2 linked regions of the Bombyx mori genome follow. The protein of the gene in region 1 interacts with the protein of each later gene in a pairwise test. Links are inferred from orthologs where the notes say so. Each region holds a gene or a part of one and is shown on either strand. Other genes may lie near its edges.

Region 1 (8,988 bases):
ACACTTTGGTAGATTACTTAATCAAGTCTGTCCACCTTGTGAGATACGCTTCCTTGATCCATTTGTCGTTCAAATGAGCTTTCATTACAGATGATATGTCCAAACATATGAAGGATTCGCAATTGCGCAATCGACGAAAGCCTTATGTTTGATTTGTAGCTCTTTCAAGATGGATACATTGGTAAAGAAAGATCTACAGAAAGCTGGATAGGGTTAATAATCGATTACAATTAAAATTGTACAATGATATCGTCACATGTGGAATACTATTACTACTACTACCAGAAGCTCGTTCAACTAATGCAGAAGAGTAGTACTGCTTTAGAGGATGCGCCAACACTACAATTGAGACTAAATTGGTAATTGACTTCACGTGTCAAGGACGACGGTGGGTTTCACGTGGCAATGTCCAAGAGCTTTGGTACCCACTTAAAACCTGGTGAGCCGATCGTACCACCACGATCTCACCTTAGGAAGTGTTCATGTGGGAAGTAACGTAACAAAGCCTAGTCAGTCAAAAAAAAAAGAACTAGTTTAATTTATTTCAAAATACGTAATATGCAGTCAATTACGAGTAGGTACATAGTTTATTTAACTGGCATTGAATTTATCTAAATTTTTGATAGCCAAAAGGTTTCGTACGTAAAGTCATCTTTATCGTCTCTAAAACAGGACTTAAAATCGATCAACGTCTTTTATAGTTATACATTTTAAAATCTGAATCGAAAGTAATTGAAACAAAACATATAAATATAATAATAATTTATTATATCTCATACATGATTTATATCAGTCATTGTGACATGTGCGCCTTCAGACGGGTCAAAAAAATAAATCCGTTCCACCATGATATGTTCCCGATAACAACGCGCGACATTCGCACCGCGATGCACTGGCGTGATACTGACGCAACACTGACGCGATACTGACGCGAAACTGACGGCGGCCATGTTGAGGGCAATCTACCCTCCGCAGCAGTGAAAGAGCTTTAACGTTTTTTACTTAAGCTCTATTGGAATATTTAACAGTGCGAATGTGACGTATACAATTTGTTGTCCCACAACACTTATTGCATACTGAAAGCTCTGTAAGCGTTTTTTTTTACAAAAGACTTGTAATCTGTACGAAGCGTCGCCTGAGAAGTCCGTCGGGCCATCGATGTGCGACCCTACGCGGACCTTGATCATAGATAAACTACCAAATCGCTGGTTCTCAATCTTCGCGAAAAACGCACTAAATTATTAATCGGAACATTGTCCCTAAATTCGATAATAAATATTTAATTTTCGGCCCTCGCAAGGTGTTTTAAAGTTAACAACCACAGGTCGCAGAAAGCAGAGACAGGGCACCGGGAACATTCATGCGCGCTCGTCCGACAGACCATGTCTACGCCGCACCGATAATAATATACTATATAAAAAAATCTTCGAATAACAAAATCAATAATTCTTCACTAAGTTCTCTTTCTAATCAATATAAAATAATAATATGCCTACACAAATATAAGTGTACTAAAAAATTGTTACACAAAGGAAATAATAATATTTGGTTAATCGCTCTAACCCCATACAGCAGACAACAGCGATAGTAAACCATAAACAAACAAAAAAATACTGAATCTGTACTATACATAATAATACTATATACTAAAAAACATTTTTTTCTTTCATTGCACGAAACATAGTAAAAAGTTTATCTAATTCTTAATAATGAAAAATATACAACATCTATTTATAATATTTAAGTCAAATAAATAACTATTTTTAATAATAAATATTACCAGAAAACCGTGTAAAAGAACATGTCAGTCTAAATGTAACAATGTCAATGAGAAAGAGACGGATGCGGAAACACATGCAGTAATACTTTTAGTAACAAAACTAACAACCAATACAATAAACATATCAGAGCCGCGCTGCTCGGGTCGGGGGCCGCCCCCCACGCGGGGGGACCGACGGCTAACGATAATACTTAGTAGAGGGGACAGAATACTTGATACGCTAAAGCTATGTATAGAACGGGTAAGTTCGTCTTTTTAAGTACACGAAGAACGACCTAATATAATAATAATTAGTCTAATTTAACAAACACTATGTTAAACAATAAATGCAAGTCGCGGGCTAGCTGCCTGTCGCGAGCTACTAGCTACTCTACTGGCCGGGGCGGCGGCCGGGGGCGGAGGCCGGGGCGCCCCGGCGCGACTCAACCGAAACCATTAACATTCAATAACTTTTTAAATTTCGACTTATCAATAGATGCGCCGGTCGACTCCGTGAGCAATGCGTTGAGCGCTGTGCGAGCGAGAGGTCGACACTGCCGACAGAGGGGGTGCGACAGAGACGGAGAGTCGGCCGGCGCGTGGACAGCATGGACGCGACTGGGACGGCACAGTGATCCACCAACAAACTCAAACATCACGACTACAACAACATGGACGAGACAGAGACGACGCGACCGACGCGTCGCCCGGTAAACAGATTACATAGTCTTTTTGCGCACGCAATGGATGGATGTCGACGATAATGATTCTTTTTCTTTAGAAATTTCACATTTGGACGTAACGGGGGGCCGCGTCCGTCCGGCGCGCGGGGAGACCGCGGACCACAACGGCGCCAATAAATATTCGCTTAACAAAATACACCGGTCCTGTTACAAAAATAATCGATTCGCGTCGACGCGCGATATCGAGTGAAGAAATCGATACGAAAATATGTCCCGAGGAAAGGGAAGGGGTAGGCCGGGCGCGGCCCCGGGCTGGGGACCGCCGCGCCCGCGTCCGGCAGCCCGCCGCAATTTGACCGTTCCAGCGGCGCCGGACGAGGCCCGGACCGGCGCCGCGACGGGGGCCGGACGTGCGGCGCGATTCACATTACATTAAAAAGTTTACAAAACGTACAAATAGGGGACCGGGCCGGTGAGGCTGGAGCCCTAGGTCCGCAGCAGACGGCGCAGCAGGACGGCGACGGCCTTGACCGGCGCCAGCAGTCGCTAGAAGTCCCTCCCCCTGCCGCCCCGCACCCCGCCCGCCTTGGGCACGCGCCGGGAGCGCATCTCGCGGTCCACCTGCGACACACGTCACTGTCAGATGACGTCACAGCGGACCGGTGACGCAGCAATCCACAAATATGTCTAGTTCCTCTTACGTGACGCGGCATTCGCGAACATATCGAGTCTGATCACATGTTTTTTTTATTGCTTAGATGGGTAGACGAGCTCACAGCCCACCTGGTGTTAAGTGGTTAAGTTAAGGCTGCCCCACGCTTCAAACCGAAATGCATTACTGCTTCACGGCAGAAATAGGCAGGGCGGTGGTACCTACCCGCGCGGACTCACAAAATGTCCTACCACCAGTCCTAAATCAGGTTACCTACATCTGAGGTTAGACGGTTGTGTCCGACGCGGCGTGTGTTGCTCGTATGATGGACATGATCTCAAACACCCTTGAACATCCGACCCTTTGGCTCGATGTCGACGGATTATTATATTTAGTTAGTTAACCCTTTCAAATATTTTTGTAGGGAATTTCTACTTGAGCAACAAAGTGCGGAGGCAGGGATTTTGTAGATTATGCCACATGTTTAAATTTAGGTATTATTAGATTATTTTTTATAGATTAGTCTATATTATTTTAGTTTTATTAGTTTAGTTTATTATTTTATAGATTAAAATTACAGGCAGCGGCAGAATAGCAGCGATAGTTTCAGCTACCACAAAGCTGGGCCGCGGCCTTTTTATCTCCACTGTCAGTATAATTAATTGTAATATTGTTTAGATATAATTAGAAATTTAGGTCATATATTTTTTTTTGTTGCCTTTGTAGGCAGACAAGCGTACGCCCCACCTGATGGTAAGTGGTTACCGTCGCCCATGGACTTCAGCAAAGCCAGGAGCAGAGCCAAGCCGCTGCCTACTGCTTAATACTCTCCACAAGCCTCGTTTGAAGAAGGACATGTCAATTGGAAAGTTATTTGTATTGTGGAGTAAATTAATATTATTATTATATTTAGTTAGTAGGACCATTACCTCCAGCTCCTCGAGCCGTTGCGTGAGCGCCAGCTTCTGCTGCACGGCGAGGCGCAGCAGCTGGTTGAGGGTCTTCTTCTCATCCTCGGCCCCGGAGAGCGCCTGCGTCAGCTCGTCCACCTGCGTCACGTACTCCTCGCAGCGCGCCGCGAACATGGCACGCAAGCCTGGAACGGACGCTCACACATCTAGCTATTTTATTTCACACTAGCCGACCCGGCAGACTTCGTAGTGCCTCAATCGATAAATAAAAGACCTAAGCTTTTGTATAACATAAACTTAAAACAAAAGGAATCCGTCCGACGGAGGACACATCAGAGGAAAAACAAAATTGTTATTTTTATTTAATTCAGAGCATTTTCATTTTTATCTACCTTCCTACCTTCTCTGGACTTCCACAAATAATTGAAAACCAAAATTAGCCAAATCGGTCCAGCCGTTCTCGTGTTTTAGCGAGACTAACGAACAGCAATTCGTTTTTATATATAGATAGAAGAAGATGAGTGAACGAGCTCATAGCCCAACTAATGTTGACTTTGAGACACCACCTTGAAACATTTTCAACGGTAGGCAGTGGCTTGGCTCTGCCCCTGGCATTGCTGAAGTCCACGGGCGACAGTAACCACTCACCATCAGGTGGGCCGTATGCTCGTCTGCCTTCTTCTTCTTAGTTTGGTTTCCTCAATACTGAGGGTCGTGACCACCCCCTCGCAACAAGAGTTTATTCCGGATCATTCCACGCCATTTCCCTCTATCTGCCGCCGAGTGTAGAGCATCGTGAACTGTGGTATCGAGGGTAGTGCGGATCTGGTCAGTCCAACGTGTCGGGCCTCTAAGTATTTAGTGATCGCCTACAACGGCAAAAAAAAAAAAGCCAGTACTGACTCGAGAACGTAGCGGCGTCCTCCTTGAGCAGGCGCAGCTCGTTCCTGAGCTTGAGCATGGTCTCCGTGACGATCGTCTTCTCCGTCTCGTACTTGGACTTGAGGTTCGCGAGCGCCACCTCGGCCGTGTTCTTGTTGGACTTGAGCACGGTGCGCAGCGTCGCGATCTGCTCGCGCTTGGTCGACAGAAGGGACTTCAGCTTGATGACCTGCTCCTGGAGCTCGGCCAGCTCGGCGCCGCGCTCCTCCGTGGTCTCCATCACTGCGAGCACATTAAACTCTCGATGAGGTCGAGAAAACGACTACTAAGTGCTGGTATATTAGAATTCTGCAAAACAATGTCAAATTGAATTACACTATTATTATTTTTTGGCTTAAATGGGTGGACCAGCTCACAGCCCACCTGGTGTTAAGTGGTTACTGGAGCCAATAGACATCTACAACGTAAATGCGCCACCCACCTTGAGATATAAGTTCTAAGGTCTCAATATAGTTACAACGGCTGCCCCACCCTTCAAACCGAAACGCATTGTTGCTTCACGGCAGAAATAGGCGGGGCGGTGGTACCTACCCGCGCAGACTCACAAGAGGTCCTACCACCAGTAAATCACCAGTTCAATAAGGGGAACTGGCTGGCGACTCGGCCCGGACTGCTGTGGACTACACCTGGCGTGTGCATTGCGACGCGAGGCACTGCACACTTTGCGACGACAGAGATAAAGAATGGGCAGTAGGTGCTCATTTTTCAGATCAAAATCTACAAGGTTCTACGACTGAATGAACGAATGAAGAATGAACATGAGTGAATGAAGGGCAGTGTGAAGAACAAGTTAAGGGGTTGCGGGACATGACTGCCGGGGCCCGCACGCAGTTAACGACACACAGACACGTATTATCTTTGGTTACTAGTGAGGGCGTGGAGATATAATCTTCAAAACCCAACAATGACGAGTGGGTGAAATGAACCTTATTAAAATTCTTCAAATAATAATAAATACCTAGGAACAAAACACCCACATTGGTACCCGCCTGCGGGATTCGAACACCGTTACATCGCTTCAACACGAATGCACCGGACGTCTTATCCTTTAGGCCACGACGACTTCTAAATTAGTCGACGACGTTAGATAATAAGCACCCAGATAATGAGCAAACAAATTTGCTCTTCACACGAACGTTTTCCCGGTGCGGGAATCGAACCCACGTCCTTCGACGCGACAGTCAAGGCCGTTAACTATTGCACCAACGAGTCAGTCTTATTTTCTTTATCGATAATTCTACTACACAATCACTACAGCTGTAAACTGTCCACTAACTAACTAGAACATTGCTTAGATGCAACCCAATTTATCTTAAATAATAGTTTAAGAAAACTAACAAAGCACGCTTTTATAGAAAATCCAACTAAAAAATAGAAAATAAATTTTAATAAATTTGAATTAAAAATAGTGTAAGAAAAATTATTTTATTGTAAAAAAGCGTGAGGTGCTTTTCAGGATATTATCAAAATAACCCTTCTGCTCATGTCTGTTTATAAAATATTTATAACTACTTATACCATGCACCCCACGCTTTTTTACAATAAAATCATTTTTCTTATATTATTTTTAATTCAAATTTATTAAAATTTATTTTCTGTTTTTTTAGTTGGATTTTCTATAAAAGCGTGCTTTGTTAGTATTTTAAAACTATTATATATTTTTCATTCATTAGTTGAATATCAATTTTTTTAATTTTTTTCTAATATTGTATTGTCATCGGTCCTTAATAAGTATACCAAATTTCGAGTTAATCCGACGTTTTGAAGGGGGTCAAAATCATGTTCATAGATTCCGTTACAAACATACATACGTCTGAAGCTAATAAAAGCGTATTAAAAATCTAAATACACTATATAGTTATAGTTCGTTAACTACAGCGTGATACGTTTGACAGATGGTTTGTTATATCAAACCTATTTCCTAATGACGTCCCGCCGACAACTGTCCCGGGCGCCACGCCGCATCTGACGGACTATACTTCGCGGGACGAGCTCGGGATCACAGAATGTATTGCAGCACGTAAACGCACGTCAGTACAGTCGATTTCACAAATGCTTTCAAGTTGTACGATTTAGGATCGCTTTTCTTAATATCGATCTCATCGTCTAAAGATGCTCTCTTGTACAATTTATCTTTCCATATCGAGTACAAACTGAGATTTTTATTTCGATATTGAGATAAATTTGGATTCGAGATTTGCGACTTCGCTATGGGAAACTGTTTTCTTTTGCCATTAAATTTAGTATCGTATTTTTTGGCATTATATTGTGCGAAGCAATTATTCGAATGCTTCAAACTAGAATCGATTTTGTAGTTCGCACGTTTCAACGCTGTATCGATATAATTTCTGTTCGATTGGAGACCGGTGATATTTTCAAAATAATCGGTAAGCTCTTTAACGTTCCTTCCGTTACAGATTAATTGAGTTACGTTTGTATTACTTTTTTTTCTTTCGTCAGCCATTTTTATTTTTATGTTGGCAATATCTTTTGCTTTTTTTGAACGATTTTCACAAATCGAAGCTACGGGACCTGTCGATATTTTTTTTATTGCTTAGATGGGTGGACGAGCTCACAGCCTACCTGGCGTTAAGTAGTTACTGGAGCCCATAGACATCTACAACGTAAATGCGCCACCCACCTTGAGGTATAAGTTCTAAGGTCTCAGTATAGTTACAACAGCTGTCCACCCTTCAAACCAAAACGCATTACTGTTTCACGGCAGGAATAGGCAGGGTGGTTGTACCTACCCGTGCGGACTCACAAGAGGTCCTACCACCGGTAAGATTATTAACCCATACACTGCCATGTAGGTCACCGGTGTCCTACGCGGCGTACTCAAGTGATTATGTCGATTTCTGTTACTTAGCGCCTAGATTGCTTAACTTTGCCTTCTTTTGTTTGATAATGTATGTTTTAGTCTTTTAGGTATCTTAGAAATAGATTCATTGTCAGTATCTTCGGATTCGTCTTTCCTAGTCTACTGAATATACGTAAGAAAAACAAAGAGAAATCGACATAGTTGCTTCAGTGTGCCACGTAGGGCATCGGTGACCTACACGGCAGTCAACGTGTTAAGAGCAAAGTTTTGTTTTATTGCCCTTGTAGGCAGACGTGCACACGGCCCACCTAATGGTGAGTGGTTACCGTCGCCCATGGACTTCAGCGATGCCAGGGGCAGAGCCAAGCCGCTGCCTACCGCTTAATACTCTCCACAAGCCTCATTTGAAGAAGGACATGTCATAACGCTCGGGAAACACCGTGGAGGGGAGTTCATTCCATAGCCGAATGGTACGTGGCAAAAAATACCTCTGGAAACGCACTGTGGATGACCGCAGTGGCTCCAGGTAGTATGGATGGACCCTACTCCGGTGGCGGGCGGTGCGATGGTAAAAACAAGAAGACGCATGTAAGGTGCGTGGTTGGACACCCCGGGGCGGGGGTGGGTACTGACTGCGCGGCTGGCGGCTCCTGGCGCCGAGCGCGGTGTCGAGTGCGGCGCGCAGGTGGTCGAGCTGGTCCAGCAGGGTGTCGGCGGCGCGGGCCACGGAGCCGGCCGCGCGCAGCCCCTCCAGCGGCCCCTCCGCCAGCGACAGCGCCTCCGCCTCCGCCTCCGTCACGCCGGACTTGGCCTCGCGACCTGCACACCAACCAACATGCCTATGTAAATATTGTTGCTCAAACAGTTAACTGTTATCGCATTAAAACTGTATAATCTCAAAATTTACTAATTGTACAAGAGAGTGTTTTAAAGGTTTAACATGTAACATTTTTAATATTAATCCCCTTTGCAACTTTTATTTTTAATTTTTTACCAGTTACATTATCTGTCTTTTACAGTAAGATAAAATTATGTATTAATTTTGTTAATACTAGTCAAAGCATAGGTAAACTAAAAAAAAAAACTAAAGTACGCTCTCTTGACAATATTTATGAGAAAAATACTGGGGATACCAAATCGATGCCTTCAATGAACACTACTCTAACTCCAAATTCGTAAGTTTACAAGAGGAGAGTTTAAACGAAAAAAGTTGATAAATA
Region 2 (9,509 bases), on another chromosome or scaffold:
AGCCTATCAGCATAACATCTACTTCACACAATCAAAACCCAAAACGTGGAACTCATATTTGAAATATGAGACGACTATTAATTTTAAAACAGAGTGAAGCATAAGTCTTGTACTAACTACATATGAGTCGTCTATTATCAAAGGCGGCAATCTGTACATTTGGACAAAAAATTTTTATTGATATGTCAATACAGATTTATTTGAATATAATCGTCTCCTTCAAAGAATACGGTTCAAAACCTGCATTAAATAAAGGTTAATAGTTAACCTGTTATTTATCTAAGATGTCGTTCCGAAGAGTTTTGTGACTGCCAATGGAATACAAAGTCAATAATTCGTTTTTCTGATTTACCAATCATTGTCCAAAAGTCAGATTGCCGGCTTTGATAATAGTCGACTCATATATACCATGGGTTAATAATAATACTCGGCAAATCTAAGGACCTCAGATTCTCACTTAGTAACTTAGCTTTTATTGCTCTAGCCAGGCACACTAGCTCTACCTACTGTAATGTTCAGAGAATACTGCTTCCCATCTTACAGTATATCTCTTAAAGGCCTTTGACGACATTGCGTATTGATGGTGAATACTGTTCTACCGTATAGCAGATACAGTTGAATTAACCTACAGTGTGCGCGCGAGTTCGTGTCCATCGGGGCCAGAGGTGACGCGCGGGGGGCAGCTCGCCCCGCCTCCGTCCGCCTCCCCGCGTTTGTCTGACGTTTAGTGTTGTCTTTGACAGTTGTGACGCGCGCTTATCGATATCAAAAATTTACGCTAACGCTATTGTGTTATTTCATGGTGAATAAACTACGACTACTTCGCTTCCAACAAGTTCAGGTAGAAAAAAACCTACACTGATTCGGACTCTGATCTGTCGGTTATCTTTTCATCTGATAGTAATTGAATTGGAATTTAAAAAATATTTTTCTCTATTAGAAATAAATAAGTAATTACTTACCACATTTATTTTATAATTTGCAAAATGACCTAGTTACAATAAACCAAATTGACAGCTATTGACTAAATCGGTAGTTATTATCGACACCATAATTAACTAGGTCACAGCACTACCGCATTCCTCAGGACGGACATGAACTCGCGCGCCTACTGTAGAAGAAAATAGCTTCCAAATGAATAATTTTAACTTACGCTTCCCTTTCTTCTTTATCTCGTTTGATACGTTTCATTTCACGCAACTTCCAAGCTTCATATTCCAGTTCGTCATTTTCATCATCTGTACATACATCATTTATATTCCCTTCTTTTTGTTCTCCCTAAAAGTATGTTTAAAAGATTGAAATTGTGAAGAATAAAAACAGTGTGAAAAATATTTGTTTTATTCGTAATTTCGCATCACTATTAATCAACGTTTTTATAAGAAAATATAAATCATCTAAAACTTCAGCAGTCAACAGACTATTGATGCATAATATACTTTTTTTTTATTGCCCTTGTAGGCATACCAGCATACGGCCCCCTTGATGAGTATTTACCGTCGCCCATGGACTGGGCCAGCAATGTCAGGGGCAGAACCCCGGCTGCTGCCTACTGAACCACCTGCCTTCTCCTAATACTTTGATATTAAGTGAAGCATCAATACACCACATTTATATACGTTCATATGTAAACAACATGTTTAAGACTTTATATACAAGGTTATGTTAGAGGAAGTCTGAAAGTGGCACCTGTGACAGAGAAGCTGAGGAGTGCACGTTTGGGATGGTATGGACATGTGATGAGACGGAATGAAAATGAGGTTGTTATGAGAGTGTTAACTATGAATGTGGAAGGATTTAGAGGAAGAGGTAGACCTAAGAAGAAATGGATGGATTGTGTGAAAGACGATATGGGTAGGAGGGGAGTGAGCGAAGAAATGGTATATGATAGAAGAGTATGGAAGGAGAAAACATGTTGCGCCAACCCCAGGTGACTGGGAGAAGGGCAGGATAATGATGATGATGATACAAGGTTACCGACAATCGTTAGTAAAACAATTATTACATATTGATTTTGATTTCATAAAATTTATATTTTAAAACCTGATACTAAACCTGAGCACCCCGCTGTTCAGACCGAATCGTTTCCTCTACTAATTTAAGGGCTTCCCGTCGCCTTTCTTCTTTTTCTTTCCGAGCTTCAGCCTCTTCTCTTTTCTGCTGTTTCATTTTACGTTCTCTCTCTGCCACTGTCATACGCTCCGATGCTCTTACAAATACTGGTTTCACCCTTGGCCCTGGAAAAGGCCAACTATACATAAATTATGCAGTGTACTATGATGGCATAACCTGTGAAATGCAATATTGAAATTTCTTTACTTTTACTTACCTCCATTTAGAAGAAGCCCACTAAATATGAAGCTTAATTTGAAGGGATTACTTGACGCTTCTAAGTAATATTTACAAGTTTTATAAAATTTGAATACTAACCAGTATCTTCTTCACTGTCTGTGTACTCTGTGTCTGATGAGCCGCTTTCCTCTTTGTCACCTTCCAACATTTCTTCATCTTCATCTCTACCGAGTACTTCTTTTTCAGCTTCCCTACCATTTAATAAATTGATAATTTTATTACATTCAGACGTATTTAATATTTAAGTTCGTAATGCACCTTTTTAAAAAAACACTTGTGCTAACAATGTCTTCCTTTTTTATTGCATAGTGATTGCATAGTGAAGGAACTCAAAACACTTGGAACTCATATATACTACAATGTGAAAACCACTACATTTCAACTACAGCAATCTCCCTTTTGGCTGGGTGGAGAGTCCCATATACTCTTTCAGGAGTTATATTTGAAAGCATAATTCATTTAAAATTATCTATTTCACTGTATTATTGTGAATTTAAAAACTAATATGTTCTACATTTACCTGGCTGCAAGTTTTGCTCTTAGAGCCTGTCTGCGTCTTTCAATCTCTTCCTCATCCAGTTCATCTTCACTCTCGGAACTATCCCTCACGTCATGATCACTGATCTCAGATTCTGCTTCAGGTTCTGCATCAATAATTTCAGGCTTGTGTTCGGCTCTACGCGGCGGTGATTGTGCAATATTACGGAGACGTCGTAATCGAGGATCATCAACCTTAAAAGTGAAATTATACATTTCTACAATGAAGTGAAAAAGATGCAATTAACCTTGACACTTCTGTTATGAGGTACAATTTAAGATGAGCTGCAGAGAGCAGTCCATTTATAGTATTTCTCATTAGTGTTGCTCTTTATAAGTTACCTCTTTCTCAGAATCGCTATGATGTTCTTCTTTGCGGGTGATTATTTGAGGTAAAACTTGTTTCCGTTCAGGTCTTTGTTGCTCTATAAAATCTTCTTCATCTGATTCCTCAGATGATGACATTCCTTGTGCATAGTCAGGCTTTTTTCCAGATATGTATCGCTGAACTTTCACCTTTTGCATCGAGATCTCACCTGAAAATGAAGCCAATTTATGTAAAATAAAATGAAAACTTTGGAAATGCTTCAACTAAGCTGCATTGATTAATGTGAAAATTTCGAATCAATTAACTTTATTTTTATAGAATGGAAGTTTGAAAGCCAGTTTTTTTTTAAATTCATTTTAGGAATACATTATCGTACCTTTTTCATTTCTTATCGGAATTGCTCCCGCTGTACTCTGAATGCCTGTAGGTTGTGCTGGTAGGACATTCATCTTGCCAGTGTTTTCGTTTATAAAACAATGATAGTAGCTACTAGACCCCAATTATTAAATTTTCATTAAATATAAATTACTTGATTTCACAAAGCCTTGTTCAGTTTAAAAGATATTTTACCCATTATTATCCTAAATTACAGTAACGATACGTTTAGTATGATTAGTACTAGCCACAGATAAGATACAGAATTTGACATTACTTCAACAAATTTTTTTCAAACACGCAAATACCCTGACCAAAGGAACAAAGGTCATACAGGCTGTTTTGTTTTAAAACTAAAACCATATCTGTTGTATGAAACTGCTTTAAGCGAAGAGGAAAGTCATAACTTTTTCACATTTACTAAATAAGAAGTAAAGTAATTTGATAAAAAAAAAATCCTGTTGAAGACTTTTTGCAAATTTATTTGCAACAGTGACCACTGATGGTGTAGTGTGTTAATGAGGCTTGCATACATGGCTACAGGACAAGCTGTAGAACATTGTTTATACATAAACCTTTAAAGTATACTTCAGTGCGTTTCATTGACCTATATAGTAGGGACACGACATATTTTTCTATACGTACAATTGCTTATACAAATAACACCCATTTTGAAGGCACACACATAAACATATATCTATCTCGTTCTTACTCAGCACGAGTCAGCACTGTAACTCGCAGGAAAACAATATAACAGTATTTCAGTGCGTACATAAAATGAAACATGAATATACGTAAATGTCTAATGAGGCCGAAAATCCGTCATGCTTAGCGCACCAAATGTCATTGTCACGTCAGTTCAACCGGTTTTTTTTTAATGCTTTGAATGGTGGACGATCTCACAGCCCACCTGGTGCTAAGTGGTTACTGGAGCCCATGGACATCTATAACGTAAATGCGCCACCCACCTTGAGATATAAGTTCTAAGATCTCAGTATAGTTACAACGGCTGCCCCACCCTTCAAACCGAAACGCATTGTTGCTTCACGGCAGAAATAGGCAGGGCGATGGTGCCTACCCGCGCGGAGTCACAAGAGGTCCTACCACCAGGATTTTGGGTTATTGACTTTGATATCGATTTAATATGATTGCTTATATAACATTTCTTATTTTATCATGCTACCCCGCTTAAACCATACAAAAATAATAATTATAACATATTTAATAGGATCTCAAGAAAGTAGATACACCAAAACTAATAACTATATGATAATATATTTAAATTCATTATGGAGCACTCATCCTAAAAATCGGACACAATTTTTTCATATATCTTCTTCTTCTTCTTTATTTTTGGCTCTGGCACGTTTTGTGCATTAGCCAGCGTCAAGTAATAACGTTTTTATAATTCGCCGTTTTATTTATTTACAGTTTATAAATAATAAAAAACGAAGGAAACTTATCGCAACAAAACATAAATGATTTAGAACGAATTGAATTTACAAAAAAAATCAGAATAATTATATAACAGGGAAAATAAATCAAAATTATAGTTTAATGTTATTATTTAAAATAAACCTACTTAAAATACTATATACAAGGGGATTAAAATCTCGAAGAAGTAAAGAAATATTAGTAGGAAGGGGAATAGAGAGAGATACTAAAGAAGTATATAAGGAAGAATGATCATATAAAGAACAAGCAAAGAAAATATGATTCAGGTCACAATAACTCTCGCCACACTCACAGGCGGTACTAGTTACGATACCAAGTTTGTGCAAATGAACTGGAAGGCTGTTATGTCCCAGACGCATACGAATTATAGTAGAAGTGGCGGTTTTACCAAACGACAATTTGGCAAACCATGGCTTCCTGGGAACGGAAGACTGTATAGCATACAAGAAACGACCCTTAATCCGGCCGCTCTCTTCCCAACACATATTCCATGATTTGTGGAGGCATATGCCGGGCAAAGCAGCAAGATCATGGCCAAAATTCTTGTACGGGTATACGTCACCGGTCACAGTTGCACTGTTGGCCAAACTGTCAGCTTTCACATTTCCAGATATGCCACAGTGACTAGGTACCCAACAAAATGATACTAAATAGTTGTGTGATTGGCAGTGCAACAGCTTTCTCTTACATTCAAATATTACATGAAAAAAAGGGTTAAGTTTTAGTGAAAATTTTGCTAAGCTCTGTAATGCACTTAAGGAATCAGTAAATACAACGGTTTTTTTTAGTTTGAAAGACAGCACATATTCAAGAGCTTTTAATAGTCCAAAACATTCACCGGTAAAGACCGATGATTCCGGAGGTAATTTAATTTTCTGAACTATGTTGTACTGTTTGTGATACACTCCAACACCAACACACCCACTGGAGTGTTTAGATGCATCTGTATAAATTTGATGCCAGTTAGGCCATTTACTATTGACATTGCAATTAAAATTTTCATTGGCATTAAAATCAGATTTTTCAATGCCAAGAGAAAAGCAAATCACTGGAGAAAGTAAGAGAGAATCATAAGAAGCGCCAAATAAAGGAAGCACCTGAAAAGAATGAGTTGGGGCTTGTAATTGTTTGAATTTCAGGAAACTTTTTAACAGACAAGGTAAAGGTTTATGTGAAGAGGGTACTTTTTTAGAAAGAAACTCTAGTTTCGAAATGAGGGGATGATTATGGAACTGAACAATTCTAAAAATGAATCTATCGGACAGATATTGACGTCTTAAGTTTAAAGGAGGGTCACAACATTCTATTTGCAGAGCATTAACCGGACTCGATTTCATGGCACCAGAAACAATCCTCAAAGCCCTAGACTGTATGAGATCTAGTTTTCTAAAGCCAGCCACATTACCTGGGTCTAAGAAAAAGGTCCCAAAATCCAGTACACTTCTAATGACAGCATTATACACCAACCTCAGTGTAGCCGGGTGAGCACCCCACCAAACCCCACCGAGACATCTCAGCATGTTCAAGTTTCGCTCACATTTACTAACCACAAATTCGCAGTGTGGTTGACCCGTTAGTTTAGAATCAAGAATAGCTCCTAAGAACTTAACTTGATTCCTAATGGGTAATATATCCCCATCATATGTTATATTAAGTGAGCAAGGAGTACGGGATTTGGTGAAAAGTACAACAGTACTTTTTGAGGGAGACAGATCAAGGCCATTTGCATCCATCCAGATTTTTAGCAAAGATAAAGAGGAGGAAACATATCGTTCAGCAGTACTTACAGACATATCAGAGGCATAAATAACCAAGTCATCGGCATACTGTAATAAACTTGCTGAATCTCCGACTGAACCTTCTAGATCATATGTATAAATATTGTACAATAAAGGACTCAGAACAGACCCCTGTGGCAAACCTCTCCATACCAGCCTACTAGGCTTATAAGGGCCGCCAACATCTAAAATAATTTTCCTCTCCGAAAGAAGATTTACAATGGAATTAGTTAAAAAATCGGGAACCTTTAATTTATCTAATTTACTTTTTAGAATATGTAATAGAACGTTATCATAAGCCGAATTAATATCCAAAAAAGCAGCAACTACTGACTTTTTATCTGAGAAAGCATTACGAATATCCGTAACTAATATGCCTAAATTGTCCCCCACACTTTTACCTTTTCGAAATCCAAACTGAGTTTGGGACAGATATTCGTTATTTTCTATATACCATTCAAGCCGATTTTTAATTAAATGTTCAACAACTTTTGTGATCACCGATGACAAAACTATCGGACGATATGATTTGATATCAGATTGTACCTTAGACGGCTTTAAAAATGGCAATACTATTTGACTTCGCCATGACGGTGGAATGTCACCTGTCAGTAAAATTTTATTTATTAAATTTAAAAAGTAATTTAATCCTTTTTCGCCAAGGTGAGACAAAAAGGAATATGGAATCCCATCTTCCCCTGGAGCACTGTCTTTGACGTGATTTAATACACCTTTTAACTCCACTAACGTAAAAGTTAGATTTAGAGAAGGGGCATCAGAGTTATATTGCTTATAAGACAGGATAGGATCGTTGAGTGGAGCAGAAGGAGGAGCCAAACGATCAAGGAATTGATCTGCTAATTCTATAGGCAGCAACAATGCGTTAGAAGGATTGACAGCTGATCTAAATCTTTTGATATTTCGCCATATGACAGTAGCATGTGTTTCAGGTGATATAGTGCTACAAAATTTCCTCCACCCGTCAAATTTCTTTTTTTTAAATAGTTTTCTAACCTCTTTCATTATAGTCATTAATGCCTCGTAGTTTTTCATAGACATATTATTGCGATAATTACGCTCTGCTGCCTTGCGTTTCTGTATAGCATTGGTACATTCTTCATCCCACCACGGTGGAGATGACAACTTATTACTACGCGGCTTTTTCTTTGGAAAAACATTATCAGCCGATTCTAACAAAATAGCTTTGAAATAATTATTATCTATGACATTAACTTCTGAGCAATTATTAATTTTCTCTTCTATTAATAACGTGTATTGACTCCATTTAGAGTCTATGATTTTGTGTTTGAGGCGAGAGTTTTGAATACACATTGTATCCTTTTTTTTACAGGGAAATGAAATGATTATGGGATAGTGATCACTATTATAAGTGGAACACAAAGTAGACCAAGATAGAGAAGATGCTAACTGGGGAGTACAAATGGACAGGTCAATGGCACTAATTACTTCACCAGGCTTTGTGAGGCGAGTAGGAGAACCCGAGTTTAAAATGCACAGGCTATACATGTCTAAGATATCTAATAATTCATAACCATAACTATTAGATACTGAACTACCCCAAGATGTGTGATGAGAGTTGAAATCACCCAGAATCATGAAAGGCCGAGGAAGAACTGAAATTAAGTTTTTAATTTCATTGAAGATTTGCAAGGAGGGATGAGGGACATAGATAGAGACAAAACAGATACCATCAACAATAGCTGCAATGACAGAAAAGCAGTTACTATGTGAAGGGAGAGGGAAGGAAGAAAAGGTGCTAGAGTTTCTGATGAGTAGGCATACACCACCATATCCATCAGCCCTGTCTTCTCTTAAGCACGAATAACCAGGGATTTTGAATACAAAATCTGGCTTTAGCCAGGTTTCAGATAGAGAAAATATAAAAGGATTAAAAGTATTTATAATATGTATAATTTCATGCTTTTTGTTTATAATACTGCGGCAATTCCATTGAACTAACTTGTCCATGTTGGCCATTATTAATATTAGTATAAGTACGAATTAAATTAGCAGCGTGGGACGGTATAGATAAATTGGGTTCAGAAAGTAATTTGATCAATATAGTAATTAACTCTGCTATTGTCTGTTGTGAATTTGCATTAGACGAGGATGGTAATGCACATCCATTAGAAGGCTCTGGCATATTGTAGTCCCTTACAAGAGACTCATGTGCTACATGATCAAAACCTTTACTGTGTTGAGGAGGAGTTCTGGGTTTAGTGAAGACTGTTTTTTTATAAGATATTGTACGTGAGGATGGTGAACCAGGCAATACTGTATTTCCACCAGGAACAGATTTAGTTGGGAGAGAGGATACAATATCAGCAAATGATTTAGAAATGGGGGGATGTAATTTTGACGCTTCAATATAGGATAAGCTATTCTCTGCCATTGTTACTTTAATATCTGTTTGTCTCACGTACTCTGGACACTTTTTGCTCGAAGCAAAGTGCAGCCCAGAACATAAGCAGCAAGATACACAGTCTTCCTCCACATTACAAGTATCTCCAGTGTGGCCCTGACCACACTTGAAGCACCTGGGCTTTGACCTACATTGGACCTTGGTGTGCCCAAAGCGGCAACAATTAAAGCACTGGATGGTTGGGTATATATACAATTTAACAGGCATAGAATTATAACACATAAATACACGTTTGGGCAAA

What was found.
Region 2: the proteins of protein bicaudal D (region 1) and microfibrillar-associated protein 1 interact in binary tests that used the Homo sapiens proteins (3 or more experiments, as listed by UniProt). The link is inferred for Bombyx mori from reciprocal best matches to the Homo sapiens genes BICD2 and MFAP1.

The regions. Positions count from the first base shown.
Region 1 is NC_085125.1:2,134,945-2,143,932, reverse strand, and holds the end of protein bicaudal D, read right to left. Parts: intron 8,588-8,988; coding exon 8,402-8,587; intron 7,480-8,401; exon of another isoform or gene 6,862-7,479; intron 5,170-6,861; coding exon 4,909-5,169; intron 4,191-4,908; coding exon 4,024-4,190; intron 3,064-4,023; coding exon 2,989-3,063; 3' UTR 748-2,988; downstream 1-747. UniProt on the Homo sapiens protein: Acts as an adapter protein linking the dynein motor complex to various cargos and converts dynein from a non-processive to a highly processive motor in the presence of dynactin.
Region 2 is NC_085127.1:8,421,479-8,430,987, forward strand, and holds the start of microfibrillar-associated protein 1, read right to left. Parts: upstream 4,750-9,509; 5' UTR 3,667-4,749; coding exon 3,594-3,666; intron 3,426-3,593; coding exon 3,232-3,425; intron 3,085-3,231; coding exon 2,873-3,084; intron 2,544-2,872; coding exon 2,431-2,543; intron 2,238-2,430; coding exon 2,056-2,237; intron 1,279-2,055; coding exon 1,154-1,278; intron 1-1,153. Other genes in the region: uncharacterized protein LOC134200914, read right to left, coding at 8,762-9,509. UniProt on the Homo sapiens protein: Involved in pre-mRNA splicing as a component of the spliceosome.